Bombyx mori: one gene and its partners. Each later gene encodes a partner of the first gene's protein in a complex. Links are inferred from orthologs where the notes say so. Each region holds a gene or a part of one and is shown on either strand. Other genes may lie near its edges. The genes, in order: cysteine desulfurase, mitochondrial; LYR motif-containing protein 4; iron-sulfur cluster assembly scaffold protein IscU.

Region 1 (3,761 bases):
ATCAAGATCGAAATCGATTTAATAATAAGAATGTTGCTGCAATACCTAATGCATGAAAAAGAGGGGCTATGACAGTTGATGTCACACATTTGATCCTGACAGAAGTACAAGATATCAATGGACTCAAAACAACTTTTTTTTTTTAAGGTATTTTATGACCTGGTAACTAAGACCTTTAGGTCAAGTCTTATTTTAATTTTAATGATACGTAACTTTTATAAATGAAAATGATATTATAAAATGAAATGAAGTTGATTATGATGAAACATGGCATAAAGTGAAATGAAAACGAAATGAAATGACATGAGATGAGATGATATGGGATGAAGTATAATCTCAGTAAAATGGTGGTCATTTACTGAGACTTTTTCAGTGGACTTTTTGGAAGATCCCGAGAAGTTACGTTCAGTGGCTTTGTTTTATTTTCCCAAATTTGTGCACTTTCACAGATACTAAACAGTTAATAAACCACCGCTATTACACGTTTAAATCTGAAGAAACACTAACTAGACAAAATAAAACAAATCACACAACTTCACTCCTCACGTTCCCGCCAAAAGTCCACTCAAAACAACTTTATGCAAATGTTACCCAACCTAAAGACGAAAATTATATTTTTAATTAGAATTTAATTTAAACAAGAACATTGTCTCTTTAATTAATTGTGGTTTCTTTTTATTATTTTATTGTTTATTGTTAAATTATATTTTATTGTTAAATTAAAATAATTAATTGTTATATACACATAACAATATTTCACAATTTACATTGTAACACGACAGTAAAAAAAGTATAATAGATTTTTAGTATTTCTCTTTCTCTTTTGGTAGAATTCAGTAGATTTTAACCTCCACAAGCAGTAGATTCATCAAATGAAATCTGGTCACACTGCCCTGACAACAAGTGTCAATAGTCTATAAGGTCTTGTAACCGTTGGCCGTAAATAAATTAAAAAAAAAAACAAATGTCAATCACACGATTGAATCATATGAATGAATGATATGAATTCGAAATTATTTTAGTCAAGACTCTGGTTAAGAATTGCTTGTTTTTAAACTTGCAAAATTGTTTAATTTATTTCATTCAAAATGTTCCGTTTGACAAAAAACGTGATTTCGGTGGTTTGTAAATCCGCAATAAAACAGAAAACCCAATTAAATGGAAACGGCGTTGTTATATTTGAGCAAAGCAATTTTTTTTCCGATTCTGGTAAACTACCATGATTTAATTAGTATTATACCTACTTATTTTTGTATCTAATTTCTATGTTCTAAGGTTTAAGTTAATAGTGTATATTCAATGTCATAATATTATACAAAGTTACGCTATATTATTGATTTTTACCCTATCAACAAAATGTGCTAATCATTTACATCACAATTGCCACAATTTTTTGAGTAAACATGGAATATTATACATTACGTGTCAACTTCCCACATCAAATACATTTGTTATTCAATAAACATTTACTGCAAAATTTAATTTTGTTGCAAATTTATTATAAAAAGTTAAAATCAGTACATGTTTCAGCAAATGACAAATTTTCATTAAAACATGAGGAAGTTGGCCGGCCTTTGTATTTCGATGCTCAAGCCACTACACCAATGGTAAGTAGAACATGATACGAAAATTTTACATTTATTCATATCACTTATGAATGGAGATTTAAGTGCAATTAACTTCAGGATCCTAGAGTTCTTGATGTAATGCTACCATACTTAGTAAGTTATCATGGCAATCCACATTCAAGAACTCATGCGTATGGATGGGAAAGTGAAGCTGCTGTTGAAAAAGCCAGAGAACAAGTGGCAAATTTAATAAATGCTGAACCAAAAGAAATTATATTTACTTCAGGAGCAACAGAATCAAATAACATATCTGTTAAAGGTGTGGGTCGATTTTATGCACCAAGAAAAAAGCATGTCATTACTACTCAAATTGTAAGTTTTTAATTATTTTTATTCAAAAAAGTCCTTTAGTAGTAGAAATTTCTATAATAAACATTATATTTTTAACTCACTGCATAAATTATAATAGCTAAGTAAAAGATTGATTCATAGCCATTAGAATGAACTTATCGACACTTGAAAGGCAAACGTGACTAAGCGACAATGCGTGAACTTTACAGTAGACTAATTTAAAGTTGAAATACCCGAAAAAAATTATATTTTAATGAATCTAGCTGTAGGATTGAAATGAATTTAATAGACCTAGAAATATATATTTTTTGCACATCGAATATGGTTATTGCCTATCATTCATATTATTATAGACATAGGCCTCATACAAAGCAGTTATTGTCGCTTAGTCACATTTGCCTTTCAAGCGTCGTTATTTATTATTTATTTCAGTCGTTGTAATTTTCATTTAGTCTGTCTATTAACACAAGTTTACACTTACACTATAGTCACAAGATTACATTGTTGCTTTTTTTTTTTCAAAAATTATATTTTGGTAATAATGGAGTTTTTATTCTTCAGGAACACAAATGTGTTTTAGACTCATGTCGTGCTTTAGAAGGTGAAGGTTTCAGAATTACATATTTACCAGTCCAACAGAATGGAATTATAAATTTAAAGGATTTGGAAGATGCCATCACGCCAGAAACCAGTTTGGTATCTATAATGACTGTCAATAATGAAATAGGTTTGTAAACATGTAAACTTTTTTCATTATGTGCTATTGTGATTTGTAATCTCTGTAATGTTTATATTTTTTTGTTAATTTGTTATATATTAATAACCTTTCAACTTTAAATATATTGTGTGATATGATAGCAAGGAACATTAATAAACTAATTTAACCTCAAGATCCAAAAATTTGTTGACATTGTCTTATCATCATTAACTTGTAATATTTTATAATTTAACAGTAATGTAAATAAATTATAAACTTTATCTGACCTTGCAATAAAATAAAATTGTTTGACAATTTGCATTATCATAAAAGTTTAATATTTCATTCAAAGTAACATCAATTACTCCCCTCGAGACATGATATTGCTGTCTCACTTCAATTGTATGGTGGTCTCAAGCTTCAAACTTAATGCATAACGGCTCTGTACCAGAAATTGGCAGGGTAATATCAACTACTTATGTGGGATTATATTTTTTTAATATTCAGTATTACAGGCCTCCTAGAGGCTCAGTCACAGTTTTACAATCCATACATTTGAGATGAGTCTGAATCCATTGATTTCAGACGACCCCTAGCCCTTGGGTAGGTACTTACGCTATCAAATACAAAATTCCAAGACTTGTAATATATGTAATTATTACAATCATTTATTTATAAGTACATACCTAATTACATTACATGTGTTGTGCTGCCAGATAGTTACATGTCACTTTATTATTGGGTGTTTTCAGATTTATATTATTAAATTTAATTAAGTATTATATTTGCATTCCGATCTTATAAATTTTTGAGGGAAACAGGAGCATAGCTGTGATTTAAATTTTACTTTACTTACTATGTTAATTAAGTAATTTCTCTAAAATATTGTCTCCAACAAATGAGTGGAAAATTCTGTCTTAAATGGTTTTCTAGTTCATTACATCATTAGATTGGCTGTTTCAATGTTTAAGCTTGTTTACATTTTTTGTAACTTCTATTGAAAGATGATATTTGGTAAGGTAACACAAAATTATAGAAATAAACTTAGCTCCTTACTATACTTGAGACCTGAGAACATATCTCAAGGTGGGTGGCGCATTTACGTTGTAGATGTCTATGGGCTCCAGTAACCACTTCACATCAGG
Region 2 (3,761 bases), on another chromosome or scaffold:
CAATTAATTTTAATTACCTGTAAGACAATACAGGACTCTCATCGCTGTGCACGTGATATCTTTCCTCATCATGCCAATTCTTGTGCGATGGTGAATATTCCATGAACTGAAATCAATAATTTAGTAGCCAGGATGGCAGATGGCTCATGGTTGCCTGTTTTAATCAGCAACCACAGGGGCCACACAAGAAATCAGAATATAAAGAGCACAAGATTCCTTGAGATATGAGGATTGAATTACAAATACATTAATATTAAACTACTTCTTATATAATTACTTTACTTTTTTACTATGGATAATATTTAATTTAATTTCCATTGCAACTTAATTAATGATATTCAATTTTCATCATTAATTTGTTTTTTATTATTATAGTATCTGTTTAGAATTTTAGATTTTAACCTGATAATTATTTCAATGACCAAGCGAAATAGTCTCTTTATTTCTTTTTAGTTTTGAAAATTGTTTTTAAAAATTAAAGTTAATATTAGGCATTTCATGGTATGTAATATTTGTGTTACATGGTATGTAAATTGTATTCCTTTGCTAACTTTCATAACTTGACATAACACATATTAAGTGATTTACATACAAAACATGTTTAGTAATCATCTTCCGCTAAGTTACACAACAAAATGTGCAGGCAAGTGAATTTTTAAAAATGGTCTAGAAATCCTAACTTCTTTGACAAAAATATGACAATTTTCTTCGCTAGTCTTGTAAACAAAGTACTTTTGTTGTTTGTTTCCTTTGGATAATTTGGTTAAAATAATTTAAATTTCATCAAACTTTTAACTCACTGTTTAATTTAGTAAGTACCTATATATGTCTTAGAATGACGGCTGACGAGCATAACAATATTTGAATTTGTAATTATCAGATCGCAAATGTTATTAAAACATCGGGAATGTCAAATCAGATGTTACTGACGTTAGACCAAATTGACAATGTACACTTTTCGGTATCCTGTAGTGTAGCTAGACAAAGGCTACTTAAATTTACATCCTTACTAGTGTAAATTGTGACTAATAATCAAAGTCGAATTGAAACTTCTACCCAGACGCGAAACTTACGAATTTACCTTCTTTTACATTTATTATCACAATTCAAAAGTTTTGCACGATAAATTTATTTTATAACAAATAAAGGTTTAACACCGTGTAATACGGAACGTCTAATTTTTGTTTACATAAAAAAACTGGAGTGTAATGTCATAACTGGTCATAACAATTCGTAAGACAAATATCATTGGGTATTACCTTTTATCAATATATTATAGTTTTTAATAAGCTTGTCGAATAATAAAGCGAAATGTCTGGCGCGATACCTAAAATACAAATATTATCTCTCTATAAATTGCTTCTCAGAGAATCCCAGAAGTTCCCTAACTATAATTTCAGGTAATGTTTTGCACCATTATATAACCTAAAACAAATGAAAGATTTACTCCAACGTTACTAGTGAACACAAAAGCATAATTTTGTTACCTTCTTAAATTACAAACAAAGTCAATACATTTTTAATTTTGTCATGATATGTGGCTACCAAATTCTATTAGGCTTAAGTAAATGTATTTACTGGTGGTAGGACGTCTTCAGAGTCCGCACGGGTAGGTACCACCACTCCGCCTATTTCTGCCATGAATCAGTAATGCGTTTCGGTTTGAAGGGGCTGGGGCAGCCATTGTAACTATACTGAGACCTTAGACTTTATATCTCAAGGTGGGTGGCGGCCTTTACATTGTTGATGTCTATGTGCTCCGGTAACCACTTAACACCAGGTGGGCTGTGAGCTCGTCCACCCTTGCTATAAAAAAAAAGCGAAAAAAATGAATTTCAACGCAATCAAAAATTATCAAGCTTGTTTGGAATCAATTATTTGGATAATAATTGAAATGAGTCAGGTAAATGGAATGATGAATGTGATATTAATGCACTTCATTAATATTAATTACTCATTATGATAAGTAATCAACGAGTTTAAATTAGCACTGTGAGGGGCATATAGCTCATAGAAAAAATGGTCACTATTGCAACTCTACACCAAAATCTGTAGTACAAGTAATCCTTCCAGAAGGTAGACCCACAGTATGTTGAAGTTGTGAGAATCTGTCAGATTTGAACAGCTTAGGATCAGTCACTGTGGTGAAGCTTGAGGATGGCCTATGTCCAGTAAAATTATGTAGACTGATGATGATGCTATAAATGATTATCATTTTCATGCATTTAAATTGTTATTTTAGTTTTTTAGGCGGACAAGACACATTTTAAGCAAACTTAATTAGATAATTAAATAAAAAAATCAGCCTCAATTAATAACTACAGCATCAGAGTTACAGTAATTAAAATGAACGAGATTTTCAAAGCCTCAATAAATTATGAATTAATTAATCAACAATTTATCAAAAAATGCTAAATTTTAACCATTCATCCTTTCAGAGCATACGCACTAAGAAGAATTCGAGATGCTTTTAAAGATAATAAAAATGTGTCTGATGTTAAGATTGTGAAGAAAGAGTTTGAATTTGGAAAAGAAAATTTAAATGTTATCAGGAGACAGGTGTGTGAATATGTTTCATTTATGTTATCAAACACATGTGATAATTAGCTTATATTTTATTTAGAAAAGTATTATATTTATATCTTGGTTTCCTTTATATCACATCAGTTAAGTGGTAACGGTAGTCTATAAACATTACAATGGGAAATCTGCCACCTTTTGCTTTTTACAATTTGTCCTTAGTCTTATTGCAGTGCATTTTGCAGTGTTGGTCTTCAGGAGCAGGAAAGGAGAACCAATTTTCTAAAATTTCTATTAATGAAAATAAAGTATACTTCATCCCTACTGTGATGGGTTTGAAATGTTGATTTGATCAAAATATTAAACAACTGATCTTTTTCTCATTCAAATAAGAAAATGTGGTTGCCGAGCTGAGCTGAGAGAGCTGGGAGAGATTATGGTACCAATCTATTCAGGCTCACTCTGGTAGTTTTCCAATTACAGCACAAGAGCTCATTATGCGGCATAATGCTCAACGTTGAATGTTCCAACTGCAGCAACTCGAAGCACAATTGAGCACTCTCAAAAGTACTGCTCTCGCGTGATACTCGCAATCGATACCGACTCAGTGACAGAAAATTGACAAGTGTTTTTTCTTTAAGTTGGCATTGATCGAAATTTTGTTTATATTATCGTTAGTAATATTATTTAATGTTGAAAAAAATTGTAAGGCTTTCGTTTCGTCGTAGTTTCTTAGAAATAATCAATGTTAATTAAGACTGTGCTAACTTAGCGCACTCTGCTGATGCATTTCAAAACTAATTCACGTTCCAATTAAGCTTCAGCATAATTTGGCATTGTGCGTCACTGAGTCGCATTATGCTCTGTAATTGGAAAACTACCACTACACCCCACCTCTGATCTAACTGCACTAAAAGGTTAAACTATTGTGATTAATTCATATATGAAATCATCTTGTTTTACAGGCAGCCATTGGAAATATGTATAAAACAGAAAAACTTGTTATCGAAAATCTGCGGTAGCTTCATGTTTATAATTGTATATTATTATGAAACATCTGTAATGTATAATGTACATTTGACTAATAAATAGTATAATGCAGAGTTTTTTATTCAAATTAAATCTGTAGGGGTCTCAGAACTTTCATTTAAATAATTATAATTGGTTTTGTTACTAAAAGTACAATTAAATGTATATGTGGTATGCATATACACAGGTATGCATCATAAAATAATTTAACC
Region 3 (3,761 bases), on another chromosome or scaffold:
AGAAAACAACGCGTAACTGATAATATAAATATTTGCCACATAATAAAATAACACTGCATTGATAATTTTGAATAAAAGTTGTAGACAAAAACATCATGAATAAACCAGATTCTTACCAACAATTAAAAAAAATATTGTTATAATTACATAGACAACCCTAGAAACCTGTACCTATTTATACTTAGGTCGTTTCCATTTCACATATTCTCATCCCAATCGACCCCTTTTTCGTTGTTATTTGTACCTGAGACGTCCCCAATATCCCCAAAAACAACAGATTTTTACATGTATTTTTATTTTATCAAATACATTAATACCAATAACAACTGAGACTTACCTTTAATATAACGGCCGTCTGGTGTAGTGGTAAGTGACATGGTCACTACACAAGGTGGTCGCGGGTTCGAATCCCGCCAAGGGAAGATTATTATATGATAAATATAAATGTCTTTTCCAGGGTTATGGTTGTATATTAAATATATGTATGTGTATAATCAAAATCTTACATTTATTTCCGTTATCTGGTACCTGTAACACAAGTTCTTTACGAACTTATCACGGGACCAGTTAACGTGGCGTGATTATTAGTAAATATTTATTTATTTATTTATTTTATATATGATGGTTCAAACACTAATTTGCGTTTATAAATCACAGTCCTCTTCTATTATTTTAAAATAAATAAAAGAGAACAAAGTTTCTAGCACTAAAATAATTACCACCACAGAAAGTTAATTTGAAACACGATTTTTTATAAGTTATTATCATGCATATTCAGAGTTGTTTTGTGAACTTTCAACATTCTACTATTACACTACAAAAAATGGAAGATTTTGCAACGATTAAAAAACTAGTATTGCGCGTCGAAAGATTTTCCTGTTTTTTTCCCCAATCACCTCTCGATCCCTAATCGCCCCATTTTACGGTACCTATTATTGGTCTTTTTTGGCGGGAACGCGAGGAGTGAAGTTGTATGATTTTTTTTTATTAATTTTGTCTATTTAGTGTTTCTTCAGGTTTAAATGTGTAATAACGGTGGTTTATTAATCGTTTAATATTTGTGAAAGTGCACAAATGTGGGGAAATGAAACAAAGCCACTGAACGTAACTTCTCGGGATCCTCCAAAAAGTCCACTGAAAAAATCTCAGTAAATGACCACCATTTTACTGAGATTATATTTCATCCCAAATCATCTCATTTAATTTCATCCCAGTTTATTAATGTCTCAAATTAATCATCTTCATTTCATTTCACTCCATAATATCATTTTTTATAAAAATATGAATATATTTAAATTAAAATAAGACATGACTTAAAGGTCTTAGTTACCAGGTCACAAAATCCCTTTAAAAAAAACCCAACTATATAGTACTATATACTTGAAAACTTGAAACTACGTCCAAATATAATAAGTGTATAATCTATGACTACGTCGTCTAAAATATAAGAACGTTTATCATCTGAATTTGTTTTTCTGAAATATATAAAATGGCTTTTTTAATCAACGGAATTCGTCGATGTATGTGTCTTAAAGGCTTTGGAAGTCCTAATGTGATTCTTGCGGCACCTTATCATGCAAACGTAAGTACCTATATGCATCAAAAATATTTGCCAATGTCAAGGATTATCGATTTTCTACTTTGCGACGTAATTTTGGCAAAAACCTTGACCATCAGAAAAAGCGAGTAGGAGCTAATGGTCGGCCGATTAAAATGTTAATAATTAATTAAGAGTCTTTTAAAATAAACTCCCGGAACCATTCTCGATTAGAAATTATTTTCGAAATTTAGACATTTCTTGCAACATGCAATCGAAAATTGTATAAATTTTGGAAAGTATACATTTATAATTTCATTTTCTCTTAAGATTTATAACAAGCTCTTTAAGCTGTTTAAATAATAAAATAAGCCTCACGAGTGTCAAGTTTTTGTCGAACAATCCAGAATGTACATTCGATCGAAAATTTATTATTTGAATCAACTTTAATAGTAAATTACTTAAATAAAAATAATACTTAGATGGAAATATCCACTACCTTTTTTTCTACATGTATGTTTGTAGTGTCATCTCATCACCTACAAATTTTTCACCATAAAATTTTCAACTACAAATAAAATACACTTTCATTACAACCATATAGGTAAGAAGAAGGATACATCCTAAGTACTATTAAGGATTGAGATTTCAAGTAATTGTCTAATGTGAGAATTTAAGTTATGCAATATCTTCGCCCTAGTGGAAAAAGAGTGCCAGCAACTGTTTCACTGAGCTAGTCAAAATATTATTATACTAACTAAGGGATTTAGAATTGCCGATTTCAAGAAAATGTGAATTCATTGCTATCTAACCAAAGGGACAAACAAACAAACAATTACAGTTTCAGATTTATAAAATTAGTATGTATAATAAGAGTATACTTTATCTTACAGGTCATTGACCATTACGAGAATCCTCGCAATGTTGGTTCATTGGATAAGAAAGATAAAAATGTAGGTACAGGCCTCGTTGGTGCACCTGCATGTGGAGACGTAATGAAGTTGCAAATCAAAGTGGACGAGAATGGAAAAATCGTTGATGCCAAATTTAAAACTTTTGGATGTGGTTCAGCTATAGCTTCAAGCTCTCTTGCCACTGAATGGGTTAAAGGAAAAACAGTTGATGAGGCACTAAAATTGAAGAACACAGATATTGCTAAAGAGCTGTCCTTACCACCAGTCAAGCTTCATTGCTCTAGTAAGTTTTTAATTGTTAAACTGCAATTTATCAACATAGTAATGATATGTACAAAACTTTTTTTACTGGAACTGTAAAGAGTCAGAACATTTACCAAATTTTTTAAGTTCTTTTCATATGAATTACAGACACTAAGTACTTTAATTTGATACCACACACATGAAGCTATTGTCTGTGATTAAATAAAGCATCATATTTTACCATACTGAATTTTAAAATGCATTATTGGAATAACTATGGATTTGGTAATTACTTAATAACAGGTGGCATGTAAGCTTATTGATCCATCTCAGCAATAAAAAATGCTAAGGAAAAGTTAGTGTAACACAGAAAATATTCTGGTCCAGATACAAATTAAGCAAAATACTATCTACGGTCACGGTGGCATAATAATTTTAATGAATATGAACCATTGAATTAGGACCATTGTACTTGTGCCTTCACTCTGTGGTTGATTTATGATTAGTATACTGGACACTATAGCAGGGGTGGGCAAATATTTTGATAGTCGGGCCACATTGCAGATGAAAATTTGACCTCGGGCAAAACAGTTTTTTTTTTCTAATTTTAAGTATAGTTTTTGCTTAGGATGTCAATTAATAATTTTTTTATAACTTTTGAGAAAATTAGTTCGACTCTTCGAATTGAAAAATATGTTAAGCAAATACATGAGTTTCAGTTTCATTATTTCTTTAGTGTTTTACGATGCATGCACCCTCAGTAGATCTATATATGCTTTTATTTCGTTTAATTTTCTGCCAATTTATTGCGGACAGATATTCCTCCAAATGAAAATTAATATAAAATAACTTGCGTTCTACTATATTGCAGGAGAAAATGGCGGCTTTAGATTTAAGTTATTTTGTTTATTCATGCAATAATGTGATATAATAAGTATAATAACTAATAAAATTGTGCGACTCTTATACATACTGTAATTGTTCAATTATCATAATTATATTTTCGAATAGGAGGCGCTGAAAAGAGGGGTTGTCCGGGAGAACATTTTGGCTCCCACCAGCATTTA

Evidence for each region.
Region 2: cysteine desulfurase, mitochondrial (region 1) and LYR motif-containing protein 4 share a complex: the UniProt entries of both Drosophila melanogaster proteins name them as parts of the mitochondrial core iron-sulfur cluster (ISC) assembly complex. The link is inferred for Bombyx mori from reciprocal best matches to the Drosophila melanogaster genes Nfs1 and bcn92.
Region 3: cysteine desulfurase, mitochondrial (region 1) and iron-sulfur cluster assembly scaffold protein IscU share a complex: the UniProt entries of both Drosophila melanogaster proteins name them as parts of the mitochondrial core iron-sulfur cluster (ISC) assembly complex. The link is inferred for Bombyx mori from reciprocal best matches to the Drosophila melanogaster genes Nfs1 and IscU.

Annotation. Positions count from the first base shown.
Region 1 is NC_085110.1:10,989,662-10,993,422, reverse strand, and holds the start of cysteine desulfurase, mitochondrial, read left to right. Parts: upstream 1-893; 5' UTR 894-1,088; coding exon 1,089-1,209; intron 1,210-1,530; coding exon 1,531-1,607; intron 1,608-1,685; coding exon 1,686-1,940; intron 1,941-2,480; coding exon 2,481-2,646; intron 2,647-3,761. UniProt on the Drosophila melanogaster protein: Catalyzes the removal of elemental sulfur from cysteine to produce alanine. It supplies the inorganic sulfur for iron-sulfur (Fe-S) clusters.
Region 2 is NC_085108.1:8,217,207-8,220,967, reverse strand, and holds LYR motif-containing protein 4, read left to right. Parts: upstream 1-1,076; 5' UTR 1,077-1,311; coding exon 1,312-1,400; intron 1,401-2,438; coding exon 2,439-2,559; intron 2,560-3,485; coding exon 3,486-3,542; 3' UTR 3,543-3,623; downstream 3,624-3,761. Other genes in the region: uncharacterized protein LOC101737726, read right to left, coding at 18-103. UniProt on the Drosophila melanogaster protein: Stabilizing factor of the core iron-sulfur cluster (ISC) assembly complex that regulates the stability and cysteine desulfurase activity of Nfs1 and participates in the [2Fe-2S] clusters assembly on the scaffolding protein IscU.
Region 3 is NC_085129.1:12,109,248-12,113,008, forward strand, and holds the start of iron-sulfur cluster assembly scaffold protein IscU, read left to right. Parts: upstream 1-1,375; 5' UTR 1,376-1,489; coding exon 1,490-1,582; intron 1,583-2,430; coding exon 2,431-2,811; 3' UTR 2,812-3,761. UniProt on the Drosophila melanogaster protein: Scaffold protein for the de novo synthesis of iron-sulfur (Fe-S) clusters within mitochondria, which is required for maturation of both mitochondrial and cytoplasmic [2Fe-2S] and [4Fe-4S] proteins.